3 linked regions of the Ovis aries genome follow. The protein of the gene in region 2 purifies or fractionates together with the protein of the main gene of each other region. This does not show direct contact. Links are inferred from orthologs where the notes say so. Each region holds a gene or a part of one and is shown on either strand. Other genes may lie near its edges. The genes, in order: CTNNA1, CDH2 and CTNND1.

Evidence for each region.
Region 1: the proteins of CDH2 (region 2) and CTNNA1 purify together in Homo sapiens (affinity purification with mass spectrometry; 4 studies listed by BioGRID and IntAct, with this or other methods). This does not show direct contact. The link is inferred for Ovis aries from reciprocal best matches to the Homo sapiens genes CDH2 and CTNNA1.
Region 3: the proteins of CDH2 (region 2) and CTNND1 purify together in Homo sapiens (affinity purification with western blotting; 6 studies listed by BioGRID and IntAct, with this or other methods). This does not show direct contact. The link is inferred for Ovis aries from reciprocal best matches to the Homo sapiens genes CDH2 and CTNND1.

What each region holds. Positions count from the first base shown.
Region 1 is NC_056058.1:47,904,662-47,909,039, reverse strand, and holds part of CTNNA1 (catenin alpha-1), read right to left. Parts: intron 3,555-4,378; coding exon 3,354-3,554; intron 2,843-3,353; coding exon 2,691-2,842; intron 1-2,690. UniProt on the Homo sapiens protein: Associates with the cytoplasmic domain of a variety of cadherins. The association of catenins to cadherins produces a complex which is linked to the actin filament network, and which seems to be of primary importance for cadherins cell-adhesion properties.
Region 2 is NC_056076.1:29,193,793-29,198,170, reverse strand, and holds part of CDH2 (cadherin-2), read right to left. Parts: intron 949-4,378; coding exon 804-948; intron 1-803. UniProt on the Homo sapiens protein: Calcium-dependent cell adhesion protein; preferentially mediates homotypic cell-cell adhesion by dimerization with a CDH2 chain from another cell. Cadherins may thus contribute to the sorting of heterogeneous cell types.
Region 3 is NC_056068.1:79,777,983-79,783,056, reverse strand, and holds the start of CTNND1 (catenin delta-1), read right to left. Parts: upstream 3,270-5,074; 5' UTR 3,046-3,269; intron 1-3,045. UniProt on the Homo sapiens protein: Key regulator of cell-cell adhesion that associates with and regulates the cell adhesion properties of both C-, E- and N-cadherins, being critical for their surface stability.

The sequences.
Region 1 (4,378 bases), on a different chromosome or scaffold from region 2:
ACCATGGGAGTCAGCCTCTCACTGGTTTCCTCTCATCTTTATGCTCCAAGCGAATGAACACAGTCAGAAAAGAGACAGGTGAGAATCTATGCTACAGGGTGTACCCGTGGTCCCAGGCTGTGAAGATGGAGGAGGAGGGACCAGCGAGTTTTCTTCCGATGGGAGAAATTAAGGCATGTTTGTCTGCTGGGGGAAAAGTGCTGGAGGAACAGGGAACGAGACCCAGTGCAGGGAACAGGCTCAGCCAGGAGCAGATGTTCAAACCACCTCAGGATCCTCGGGAACGATGGATCTCTGGTGGCTCAGAGGGTGAAGCGTCTGCCTGAAATGTGGGAGACCCGGGTTTGGTCCCTGGGTCGGGCAGATCCTCTGGAGAAGAAAATTGCAACCCACTCCAGTATTCTTGCCTGGAAAATCCCATGGATGGAGAAGGAGCCTGGCGGGCTACAGCCCATAGGGTTGCAGAGTCGGACGTGACTGAGTGACTTCACTTTCACTTTTTTAGGATCCTCAGTGAAACGGTTACCAGGGCCAGACAGGTAGGATGGGGCACAGGTGGGGAAAGGGGAGGCAAGCAGGAAGGTAGGAAGTGTTCCCAGACTGTGTAGCACCAGCAGTCCCCTGACATCCTGGGTCCAGTGACCCCAGTCAGATGACTGTACTTTTATGCACCATGTTCAGCAGAAGACAGAATTTCACTAGGGCTGTATTTTGAAAGGCAAATAAGGGGAGTAAAAGGGTGCAAAATAGATTGTACTGATGAAACAGAAGCTGGAATAGGAGTGAGACAAGGACCCAAGAGGCTGAGGGAGGGTTGCAAGTGGGGAGGACCAACCGGCTGAATATCCTGATGGACTCAAAGCATTGTTGGAAGTCACAGAACCAAAGGGAGCAGCTGACGGAAGGGATGATGGGGATGCTGGTTATGACAAGGACCAGGCAAAAGAGGCTAACTACAAGGCATCAAGAAACCAAGAGGCCCTGGGTTGGAAGGATGGTTCCTGAATTAAATCAAGACAAAAAGGAGGAACTAAACCAAGGCTGCTGCAGACCTACCCGTCCTTGCTCCCTGAGCCCTCCCAGGTGACCACACCCAGGTTCCATCTCACCACACCTGCCAGGGCCTCTTGTACTTACGATCCCACACAGCAGTAAGCACACAAGAAACAGCTACTACATGCCAGGCCCTGACCTGACCTCCAGTTCATCCCATCAAGCTACCAACACCATCATCTGCATCTTAGAGAGATGCGGGAACTTGCTGAGAGTCTCAGATGTGAGGAGGAACCCTGCTTCCACAGAACAGGCCCTGGATGTGCAGGTATCCTGGGGTGTGTGCAGTGCCAGCTCATTTAAAACCCCAAAGGCATTAACCTCAGACACTCAGCAACTCATGATTATTAATGTTTCTTCTATTCTCTGTCCGCATGCAAAGAACTTTGGAAAAACAGGGCTGCGTTTTGCCATCACTGGTGCGCTTGACCCAGGGACCCCTTCGCACCTCTGGGGGCCAGGCCTCCCTGAGCATGGGCTGCTCTCCAGCACAGCAGCAGGGGTGAACAAAGCAACAGGCTCCCCCAGATCCCCTCCCAACCCCCAGTATGTGCAGGTGACCCGGGCCTGCAGGAACACCCAGCAGCCAGCCATACAGTCCTTGAGCCATTCTTGTTGCTCCTTACCCCTGAGAGAAGTGCAGTAATGCCCAAATGTTGCTACGTTGCATACAGAATGTATCCAGCCTGATGCAACTACCTTAGAAATGGCTTCTGTTTCCAGCTGAGGGGGTAAAAAGGGGGACAGAACCCCGTCCGCCTTGGGCGGTCGGACTAGCAAACCATGAAGGTGTAACGGAAGCTTCCCGACAAGACTAGACTGTCAGCAGAGGCCAGCAGCCGTCTACTCAGCAGGCCTGCCTTCCAAATGCTGGCTCTGTGGCTACGGCAGGGCTGGCCCGAGCCTGGGGGTGACTCCGGGAGAGCTTGGCACAGGTCCTGCTCTCCACTTCCAGAGCAACACATTCATGTTCAAAACAGCGTGTGAGGCATCAACTGCTATGTGAGTCCCAGCCTAAGACACGGGATGATCACGGAGGAGGTGGTTTCTCAAAACCCTACTGTTCATGCCCAGGGGACCCCAGACACTGCCTCAGACGCTGAGAACTGCCTCTGGCTCAGAGAGGACGGGTCAAACGGGGCCCAGAGCAGGTGGCACTTCCCTTCAGCCACGGTGAGAGGGCTCGACACTTGGCCCTAGAGATCAGGAGCATCACCAAGGGCTGCACAGCCCCTCATCCTTCCCCTCAATACCCTTGGGCTCTAGTACCCTGCCTGCCTGCCACCCCTCTGAGGTGAGGAGTGCTCCATGTAAAGAACAGTTTCAACCTGAATAAAGGAAATATTCCCTTCTCTGAAATTCACTGAGGAGCCTTTATTTTCTATCACTGCCCTTTAACTCAAGAGGAAGCCTCAATTCATACTAGGTCCCCTTTTCTCAGCCCAAGTTTGGGCTCTAACTTGCAACTAAAAGTCATTTTAAACAATGTAATTAAACATATCTCTTCCTAACAGCCCTTAGATTCATGGTTTTAATATATTGCCAACACATCTGTTGAGTTCCAGAATGATGCATTGCTCAAGTTTAGCAAATGATAAGAAGGAAGCTGTTAAAACATCTGAAATGCAGTTACTCACCCTTATCATCAACACCGCTTTCCTGATGTCCCGGATGCCATCGTACACCAGGCGGGAGGCATCAATAAACTCGTTTTCATCCATGGGCTGGGCAGGGTCTGAGCTGAGGGCTTCCACAGCCGCTTCCACTTGCTCAGTAAAACGTGGCATGACTGCGGAGAAGAGAGATGATAACATCACCACCAGCCCTCCTAAATCCCTCAGTCAGATGCAGAGAGGCAGAGTGTATGATGAAGAGCCTCTGCTTCTACCTATGTGAGAGGTATTTATAGTTCAAATAAATTAAATGCCATATTTTACAAAGACTTGAATCCTCTTCTTTGTCTCTGGCCAGATTCTGGAACACAGGATTTAGATGGCTGAGAATTTGAATTGGGATTAACTAGAGGCCTTACTAGAATGGGACTCTCCTTAATTTAGTGTGTTCACTAACTAGAGATATAACTCAGAAGTTCAGAGTTCAGAACGACTCCCATTACTACCTGTGGGACACAAGTAAGGGAAACGTGTTTGTGTGGTCTTACTGTGGCTGACCAATGACTCATAAATCCGATGTACCTTCCAGAACTCTTGTCCGAAAACCAAACTGAGCCCCAGTGTCCTACTTCCTAACCAGAGGGCCATCTGTGTGTGAGGAGCACAGGTGAGGGAGGGGTCCCGCACCTGTGTTGGAGAGCAGCTTGGTTGCTTCCAGCACCTTCTCTGTGTAGACTCCTGGTTCATAGTTGTCCATCTCTGAGGTGACAACATGAATGACCCGGGCAGCCCGGCCTCGAATTGCACCAGCTGTGCGGTCTAGCCCATCCACATCTTTCTCTTGGAGAGCAATGACACATTTGTTCACGTCTTCCAAAATGTGATTCTCTGAGGAACAAACAAAAACAGCTGAATGAGGGAGGAGGCCTCCCACCAGAAGTGGACGATTTTAAGCTGGCATCTGTCACTCATCCAGTGCTCACTGCGTGCCAGCTACAGTGCCAAAAGCTTTGCACATCATTCACTCAAGAGACCAGACTACCCAGGGATCAACTGCCTGGAAACTGGACCTGCAATCACCCCAAGAATAACCATCTTTATTCCAGGTTTAGAAGAGACAGGCAGAGACGCCCATCTTTCAGAATCCTTGATAATTTCTTTCCCTTAAACAATTTCATTGATTTTATATCCCAAAGTCTAAATTAGAAGACAAGGTTCACTATTCCCAGTCCCTTGCCCCTCGCTCCAGGAGATGCCAGTGGTATTCAGACAAACGACCAAGACATCAGGACAACTCTGGAACATGAGAAGAGCCTGGAAGGCAGGCAAAAGCCTCGTGGAGTTGGATTTGGAAGATCTACCAGAACTGTTTTTCCTCAAAGACAAAGCTTGACCCTGGGTATTGGGAACCCCAGAATGAGGAGTTCACGTTAACCTCATCTATAATAGCAAAGTAGGAGCAACCAAAATGTCCCAGAACAGAGTAATAAATTATGGGCACTGGGCAGCCACTGAAATGGATGAAGATCTGCAGGGGCTGACCCAGAATGGGAAAGGGAATGTTCTCACCACCAGGAACTGTGCAGTCCACCAGCAGAAAGCCCTCATGATAGGGCTCACAACGCATGGGGCCGGTGGGTGAGCAACACAGTCTCCAGGTCATTGTCTGGCTATTTTCTTCCTGCTCAGAAAGCAGCTTTCCTTAAGACACA
Region 2 (4,378 bases):
TGACTCTATCAAATCTTGCCTAGAAGGATGTTTTCAAACTTACAGGACAAATGCAGGAAATCGACTCATGAAATGTCTTTACATTTCCTGATCATTCAGAGTCATTTATTTACGGGAAGGCTTTATGGAAATGCATGCACATATGCATAGTAAATATACCTGTAATGATTAACTCTTGGTAATTTTTATGAAATGATAATTCTGATAAAATTGGAAATAATAGAGGAAAAAGGACCAATGAACGATTTTAAAAAACCAAAAGCCTTCCCCAGGCAAAAAAGCACAACGTTTATTTATCCTTAGAATATATGTATAAGCCTTGTGTTTTAGTTAAGATATGTTTAACATGCTTTGATATTTTTTTTCCTGTATTTTAAAATACCGACGAACTCGACTCTAAAATGTGACTCAGACAGAGCCACAGATGGTTGAACTTCCTGCACAGCCCCGTCTTCCCACCCCAGCTGCCCCCACCCCTCTACTCTTATGAGATACAGACAAGCGTATCTGAACCAGGAAAAGTGCCAGTTTAAGACACAGTTATATCTATAAATTGGCTTAAGTACAAACCAGTATAGACGGTGAAGGAAATATAGAGCATTAAGTTTAAATGTCGAGGCTTTCTTAAATTCAAAATTAAATTTAAAAAATTAAATATAATGAATTAAGTCTTGCCTAAAAGCAGCATGAATGAAAGAAAATGACACTAAAGGCTCACATGATTTCTCATTTAGCTTATATACGAGTGCTGGATAACACTGTATTTCCTCAAGGAACCTCCAAATTATGATCTTCCAACTTACCCGGCTTTGATCCCTCAGGAACTGTCCCATTCCAAACCTGGTGTAAGAACTCAGGTCTGTTATCATTCATGTCAATAACGTTAATGACAATGTCGATGGGGTTCTCCACTTGGTTTCCATTAATATCCACTGCATGTGCCCTCAACTGCAAGAGTGATTAGAAAATGAAATGATTTAATGGATTTAGGTCTCCTGTGAGAAGATAAAAGATACCATAACCATAGCCATAAACAGCACAGATGGATGAAAACCAAAAGCTATTCTTCCCATCAAAATTCAAGTTAGCCAAACTATATTATTAAGGGAGATACAGCTGATAGGCATCTGGCTCAGAGCTCTATGACTCTAATCTGTATACAAAAGAGTGAAGCAGAAACGATCCACCTTTGACGGCAAAGAAATCAAGCTTCAGAAAAGCTAAGTAACTTTACTCAGTTCATTGACAGAGCCCCTGTCCTAAGCCAGTTCTGTCCAGCTTCCAAATCCTTTCGCTAAATCCATACAAAAGAGTCAGGGTAATTAAAAATGTGGAACTGGCCTAAAGGAGTCATAGAGAACAAGAGAAAAGATGAAAATTCGGAAAGAATGAAGTGTGCACATGGAATTTTGACTCTTTTTATTGTAAAAGTCATTCACTCATAAACAGTAAAAGTACATAAGACAGTTTGTTCCTCTCCCAAGGTTGAGTTCTCAGTATTACAGGTCTTCTAGAAATTTTATCTTTTCTCTTCCTTTTTAAACAAATGTAATCAGTCAGTTACTCTTGGCAAAATATCTTCAAAATCTTTTCATCCAGCACATAGAAAACCATTTCAACCTTTTCAAAGGCTGTGTAGTGTTCCACTGAATTGTTTCTTTTTAAAGGCGATGCTTCTATGATTTTCCTGTTAAGGATGATGCTGGCTACTGGTTTCTGCTGGATATACTTTATCAACTTAAAGAAGAATTAACATATCGTTTTTTTTCAATTTTGAGGTTATTTAGCACATGAAACTGTAAGTTTTATTAGACAAGCCTTTTCAACACATATAGAGTCTCTTTTTCCCTTGACTTATTTAATATATTACATTAAGAGATTTTAATACTGAACTGTCCCTGCCATTCTATAATTAATTCTATTTTGTTATCAATATTGCTCATTTATGTGCAAGTAGTGAGAATCTGGAGAGCAAGAATTTACCCCAACACTGGCCTGAAAATATTTTTTGAGATTTAACCACATGATTTCAGCCAGTAAGAATTGATACAGAAGAAATATTTGAATTTTTGGATTGGTATTTTTTGTACTCATAAATTACAGGACAGCCTAATTAGAGACTGGTCTACTGGATGCTACTTTACTCCATCCGTGTGTGTGCTCAGTCATGTCCTACTCTGTGCAACCCCATGGAGTGTAGCCCTCCAGGCTCCTCTGTCCATGGAATTTGCCAGCCAAAAATACTGGAGTGGGTAGCTATTTCCTATGCCAGGGGATCGTCCCAACCCAGGGATCAAATTCGCGCCTTTTGAATCTCCTGCATTGGCAGGTGGATTCTTCACCACTGCGTCACCTGGGAAGCCCTGCTGCCTTTTCTGGTTTCCCTATTACGATGCTGTTTTGTAAAAGGCTTGAAAACTTCTTTATATTTTAGAACAATGTATTAATAAAAAGCATTAGAATTACGTGCTCATAAGGCTTTTAAGAGCATTGGTTGGTAAAACAATCAAGGCCCTTGGGAGGAGAGAATTGAATGATACTTAGGATTTAAAATGCATTTTTAGTTTTTCATATGCTTATTTGCCAGTTTATGTCTAGGATGTCTTATTCTACCATATATCTACATGTATTTACATAGCAAATTTCAAAAGTTAAATAATTTAAAAATTTGTACAAGTGCAAAAATTCAAAAAATATATTAATGAGAAAAATAGTCTAAAAAACACATTAGCATAAGTGGCATAAAAAGTATGGGACAACTAAGTACGATCATGACATTGATGCTAAATCAATCGGAATCCTAAATCAATGTATAGTGTTGAGACAACTGGGCTGGCCATAAAGGAAAAGCAAAGTCGATCTATGTACCTTTCTTTTTTTACTAAAATAAACTCCACAGAGGTTAAACATTTAGATGCAAATATAAATAAATAAATAAATAAAACAGATAAAATGCAGGAGATTAGCATCTTGGAGTAGGAAAGATCTTTTTAAACAATCCCAGAAAGCCAGAATGGGGGCCTTCCCTGGTGGCTCAATGGTAAAGAATTCACCTGCCAATTCAAGAGATACTGGTTTGATCTCTGGTCTGTAAACTAAGATCCCACATGCTGCAGAGCAGCTAAAGCACACGTGCCACAACTATTTAGCTTGTGCTCTAGAGCCTGGGAGCCACAACTACTGAAGCTCTTGCACCCTAGAGACCGTGCTCTGCAAGAAAGGAAGCCACTGCAATGAGAAGGCTGAGTGCCACAGCTAGAGAGTAGGCTCGCCACAACCAGAGAAAAGCCCGCGCAGCAACAAAGGCCCAGCACAGCCAACAGTTCATACATAAGAAAGAAAGCCAGAATGCACGATCAACTCAAAAGAAGGACAAATGTCATAACGTTAAACCTGTAAGTTACAGTGAGGGAAAAATTATACACAAAGTTTGAAAACAAATAACAACAAAGGAAATATATGAAAATCATGCATCAACATCTCTAGTAGATAAAAGGTTATTATAAGTGGGTGGAGGAAGGGGTAACAACTTTCCCACCCCAAATTCAGCATAAGACAGGAATAGGGAATTTACTTTAATTGGATATTCAACGTATGCAACTTCAAGCATCAAGATAAATTTTTTAGAAATAGCACTGGCAATAAATAAATAATGCCCGGAATTGATAATGGAATGGAAAGTATCTGTTTTATAGTGGGGAGGAACTGGAACACAATACAACTCTTCAAGAGAACAATTTCACTATATTTATCAAATAATTCCAATTTTAGGAATTTTTTCTGAGGACATAATGGGAAAATGTACAGAAAGCTATTCATTGCTGCATGATTTATAGTTGTAAAATAAAGTAGAAAGAACTAAATCATCCAAGTATCTGCCAGTAGGTAATAGTTACAATTATATTAGAGCAAGCAATCAAAAATAGTAATAGAAACAAATAATGATTCCAGATGTGGAAAGATGCTAAATCTTATGATTGCTAAGTGACAAAAGTTGGTTTCAGAGAATAATCCCAATTTCAAAAAAAATATATTTGTGAATCTATGCACAAAGAAACATCTTACAGAATATTACCAAACTTAAAGACAAGTGACTAGTTTATGTACTGGGATTGCAAATTCTTCTTATTTTATTACTAATACTGTATTATTTGAAAAGTTTTTACATTGTACCTATATTCTTTTCTAAGAGAAAATGATACTTTCATTAAAAGTTTTACTAGAAATTGGAGTAGGAATAAAGATCAATTTAGGTTTCTCTATTAAACACATGAAAAAAAATTGTTGAAATCCTATTACAGAAAAATGGGCAAGCATGGTTAGAAAAAAAAGGAAAGAAAAATGCTTTCTGGAATTTATACTTTAGTATTAATTCTTG
Region 3 (5,074 bases), on a different chromosome or scaffold from region 2:
CTCCCTGCAAATTGGCAATTCATTCCAAACCCGAGTCAGAAAATTCTCTGGAAGAAATTTCACTGACAATCAAATAAAGTTTGAGGCATTTCCAGTAGGTTTAAGAATTACAGGGCAGTAATGATGTGCACATGGAAAGATCCCTATAATAAAGGTTGAGATAATATCCCTTCTAACGTATCTAGCTCCTTGCAGCTTTCTGGAAAATTGATTTTTCACGTGCACTGCCACTCTCCCTCGGAGCATGCAGGAACTCCAAGCAAGCACTGACCTTCCTCGGATGAAGCACTCCTGCCTCTTGCAAGGGCTCAGTTTAGTTCCGGCTCTTGTTTCTGTCCTCTCTGGAGAACAGTGTTTTAGCGGTTAAATCCACTAACTTTATATAGTCAGAACAGGGTTTAATCCCTGGTCACTTACAAGCACTGAAATTTTTAGCAAACCTCAGCTTCTCTGAGGCTCAAATTCCTTAAAAAACAAAACATAAACCAGAAAACAGACAGAAAGTTACTGTAGGAAATTAATAGTTCATGCAAAATGGTTAGCACTCACTGAGAAAACAAGGTCGAGGGTGGGAGAGGCAGGGCCGGCTCTCAGTGGCAGGGGCGCCAGGAGGCGAGGGGTTATGCCGAGCCAATCATGTTGTTACTCCAACTGAAGAATGATCTATGCTTAATTTATTTGCATCCATCCTCTCACTCATCTCTAGAGATCATCTACCTCATAAACCCAAGGCTGAAATTGCAATTACTCAGAGCTTCTTTTTGAGATTTCCAACAGTCCCCATTTTTATCCTAGCTGAAAGAACGCGTTCTAACACCTTTGGCTCTCCAAAAGTGAACCCTAAGAAAGGAATTAAGACTCTAAAAACCCAAAGGAGGCCCCCACCTGGAACACAGACCATACCTTAGTCTTATAACAAAGAAACCAACAGCACAGAGGAGTCAAACAAGGACAGGAAAATCCGCAGAACTCATGCTTACTTGTCATTTTCTACCCCCAAACCAAAGTGAGGAGCAAAACAACAAGTAAAAGATTTGCTTATTCACACTCTTCCTGTATGTCCTGGAAGAACCAGCAGAGGTGAGGTAAAAGACGGGTCTTCCATCTTATCATCCAAAAGGCCAATAGCACACACCAGTCACAACAATGCCGCAGTTCCTGGAGACAGTCCTGGACGCTTTGCAGCGAGGATGCTCACTGCAGCCATACAAAGCCCAGTGTGTAAAGCTGGACCCAAACCACCACCACTCAGTCACCCAGAGCCCATTTTCAAACTGCCTTTGTACTCGCTCAGACTCCCTCATCCCTCCCCCTAAAGGCTGAGTGGGAAACTGACACTCTGGCAGCAACATGACCAATCCTCCAAAGATCCACCAAGAAACCCCCCTAGGCTGCAGTCAAGGCTGAAGGGAGCATTCGAAAATTTGGAAACGATGTAAGTACAGCCCACAAAATATACACATTGTCCTTTCTCTTTCTTTTTAACTGCACTTGCTATAATTAGATGATCCAGACATTAAAATCTTACTGTAGCCCTTGCATAAATTAGATTAAAAGAAGGGACAAAGTTCAGTTTCCTCTGAAGCTACAACCTCACAAGAATGAAATCATCTTTCAAGAAATAGTCTTGTCCTGGAAAAGAAATTCAAGGAAGTGTTCTAGTCTGAAAAGAATTAAGGGGTGGGGTGGGGTGGGGGGTTCAGAATCAGAGGATTATTATAGATACATGCCAGTTTAAATCTAATAGCAGCTTACGTATTAAGGACCATCCTGCCACAATGAGAGCAGTGTCTATTGCAGTTATAATTTTGCAGATGATTCGAATTTTCAAACGGAGAAGGAAGGGAACGTCCAGTTTTCAGCTACCGAGGAGCCGGCTATATGCTCGTCTAGTATTTTTGCAGGAATGTATGCGCAAAACAAAAACAGATCTTAAGATTAAACATGAGATATGAAAGCACAGCCATGGGCCTTCAGATCTTAAAAGATTTCTGGTTTCACAGCAAGTTAACCAAATCAAAAATGCACCTCCAAAAAGCAACTTTCAGATTGGTTTAAAAATAAGAATTCCCCCTGTTCTTTCCCAAACACACCCTAAACACTAGGGTCTGTATTAAGTGTTTTAGCCTGACCTTTTTTAAATCCCAGCCTCTTTCAGAGAGCACAAAGCTGGAAATGTCTCTTGTGTGCGACTTTACTCAGGTGAGCTAAAGCGCATGGCTAGAGGTTCCTTATCCCTTTAAGCACGAAAACCAGACATTATTGTATATGCAGACTGAACATACAACACCTCCACAAATCTTTGCCATCAAAGGTAGTTTTAGAAGGAAGGGGGTGGCAATCCAGTTACCAAGGGTCTATTTGTTTTCTTTTACAAGGCAAAGCAGAGAGGCTAAGTCTAGAAGGCGAAAGAGGCTCCCACCCACCACACCTGAAAAAGTAAAAGAGGGATCCACCCAGGAACAGCAGGGCTGAAACCGATCTGAGCCGTTCAAACTCTCCAGGGGAAAAATATCACTATTTAAGCTGCAAAGCTCCCTGCAACTTTCCACTTTCACAAATTCAATGATAAAAGGCAGAAAAAAAAAGTTTTGAAACATATGAAGAACCATCTGTATGCTTCCGACCCGGACAAATTCCTTTCCCAACCCACACACAAAATGCCAAAAAAAAACAACTTTTGGTTTGGGCTCTGAAAACAGAAGTTTGTTAGCCCAGCCTAGAAAAAAAACACATACAATCAAAGACCACACCAAAATGTAAATTTATGCAACAGCTCTCACCCCTCTGAATCTATTCATCTGCCTATATTAGACCTAGAAGTTTGTTTCTGGGTCTTGAATATCTCCCTTTGCTTTAAATACGATAAAATACCAAAATTCCCCCAAATAAGTAGAAAGAAAAATTAATAATTGTTTAAAAGTTACCCGTCAGCATAACAGACCCTCTCGTCTTCAAATTCCCTCGGTTACCATAAGACAAAAATTCAACTTGGCTTATCCTGCTTTACCCGTCTATACACATATTTTTTAAAAAGGCACACACCTCAAATGTGGACTTCTGAAAACCACTTCTTTAAGAGAGAAAACCAAGGCTCCGTCAACGTGCTGAGAAAGACAAATCCAGCAAGGTAGTTGCTTTTTCGCCACCTCTTCCTCCTTTCAGGATCTTTCCGGCTCTTCTTTCTCTCTCTCCCCCTTTTTTTTCTCTCAGATCCAACACCTAAAATGGAAGTTGCACCCAGCCAAAGGCTAGGGAGCCTGGGTGGTGACAAACTGATCTGGCAGCCCTACCCCCTCGCTTTCCTAAGTGATGTCAGCCCCTGAGAACTTCCAATAGGAGCTAGGCATAAATCAGGGAGCTGATTTTATCCAATAGGAAACTTTATTATAGGAAACAGGGGAAAAAAGCAAGAGGAGGAGAAAAAGAGACAGGGGGAAGTTTTATATATATATTTATATTTAAAGTGGAGACTATATAATCTCTAAGGGATTACTGCAGAGCTGGGAGGGGTCGGGGAAGGGGGCTGAAGGAACAAGGGCTTTCTAGAACGGCATGCCTAAGAACCACGGTTCTCTTTGATGGTGGAGTTCTTGCTCCCTCCTTCCTCTCTGGGTAGGGAAGAAAAAAAGCTGATTTTATTTGCCTGCTGTTATTTGGTTTGTTGCTTTCTACCCCAAACCATTTTCCCACAGGAAGATAAGAAGGGAAGGAGCAAGCAACACTAGAAAGAGGGCTACAGTGTGTTGACTGGGATGGTAGGGGATATCTGAGGTAAATCCTCAATTTTATCTTCGTTTAAATGCATTTGAGTTAATTAGAAAAACAAATACTTCGACTTAACATTTTTAGCATCTATACTTTCAACTGGGCTTCCCCTGTGGCTCAGCTGGTAAGGAATCCGGGAGACCTGGGTTTGATCCCTGGGTTGGGAAGATCCCCTGAAGAAGGGAACGGCTACCTACTCCAGTATTCTGGCCTGGAGAATTCCATGGACTGTATCCATGGGGTCTCAAAGAGCTGGACACAGCTGAGCTACTTTCACACACATACATAATTTCAACTAGAAGGAAGCTGAATCCACTAGGCTGTTGAAGAAAATCAGTCTTCTCATTTGCCCCAAATCAAAATAACGTGGGCTTGAGGGGCATCGTAAATGATATCCTATAAACAAGTGATATATTTGGAGACAACAGCACATGTAAGGAAAAGAAACTCTCACATCAAGAAAGTTCAATTCATTTGTGAAGTTCGGGCTTAAGAAGGTCTAGTTCGTGCATTCTCTTTATGCTTGACCTAAATAAAGGATTATAACAGGCATTCTTTTTCTCTTAAGAGTTATCTTTAATATGTTCTTAGACTATTAGGCCATGAAGGGCAGAGATTGAAAATTTTTTTATGCTTACAAAGACTATTTCATTAACTATATGAAAATGATAATGATAAACTGAAAATTTCCTCTTTCTTTCTTACTGAAAACTCTAAAAATCTGAAGACTGCTACCAAATGAATCTTCATAAAGGTTTCATAATTTAAAATAGTGGTTAAGAGCATAGGTTCTGCAGTAAGGCTGACTGGCTGCACCCGTTTCTGCTAAGTATACCTAAGCAAGTAAATGGGCATACTGCGTGGCCCTCCAGGGGGCGCAGTGGTGAAGAATCTGCCTGCCAGTGCAAGAGACTCAGGAGAATGGGTTCGATCCCTGGGCTGAGGAAAATCCCCTGGAGAAGGAAATGGCAGCCCACTCCAGTATTCTTGCCTGGAGAATCCCATGGACAGAGGAGCCTGGTGGGCTACAGTCCACGGGATCGCAAAGAATCGGACACGACTGAGCGAGCAGCACACACATGCTACACACTGCAACCCTGGAAAAGTTATAGAATTTCTCTGTGACTCAGTCTCTTAACTATAAGTGGAGATAATAACTATATCTCTCTCATAGGACTGTTAAAAGAATTAAAATACACATAAAGTTCTTAAAAGAATACATGGCATACAGTGTAAACTCAGTAAGTTATGATTATCAATATCTACCCTGGCAAAAAATTTTCAATAGCTCACCATTGCCCCAAAA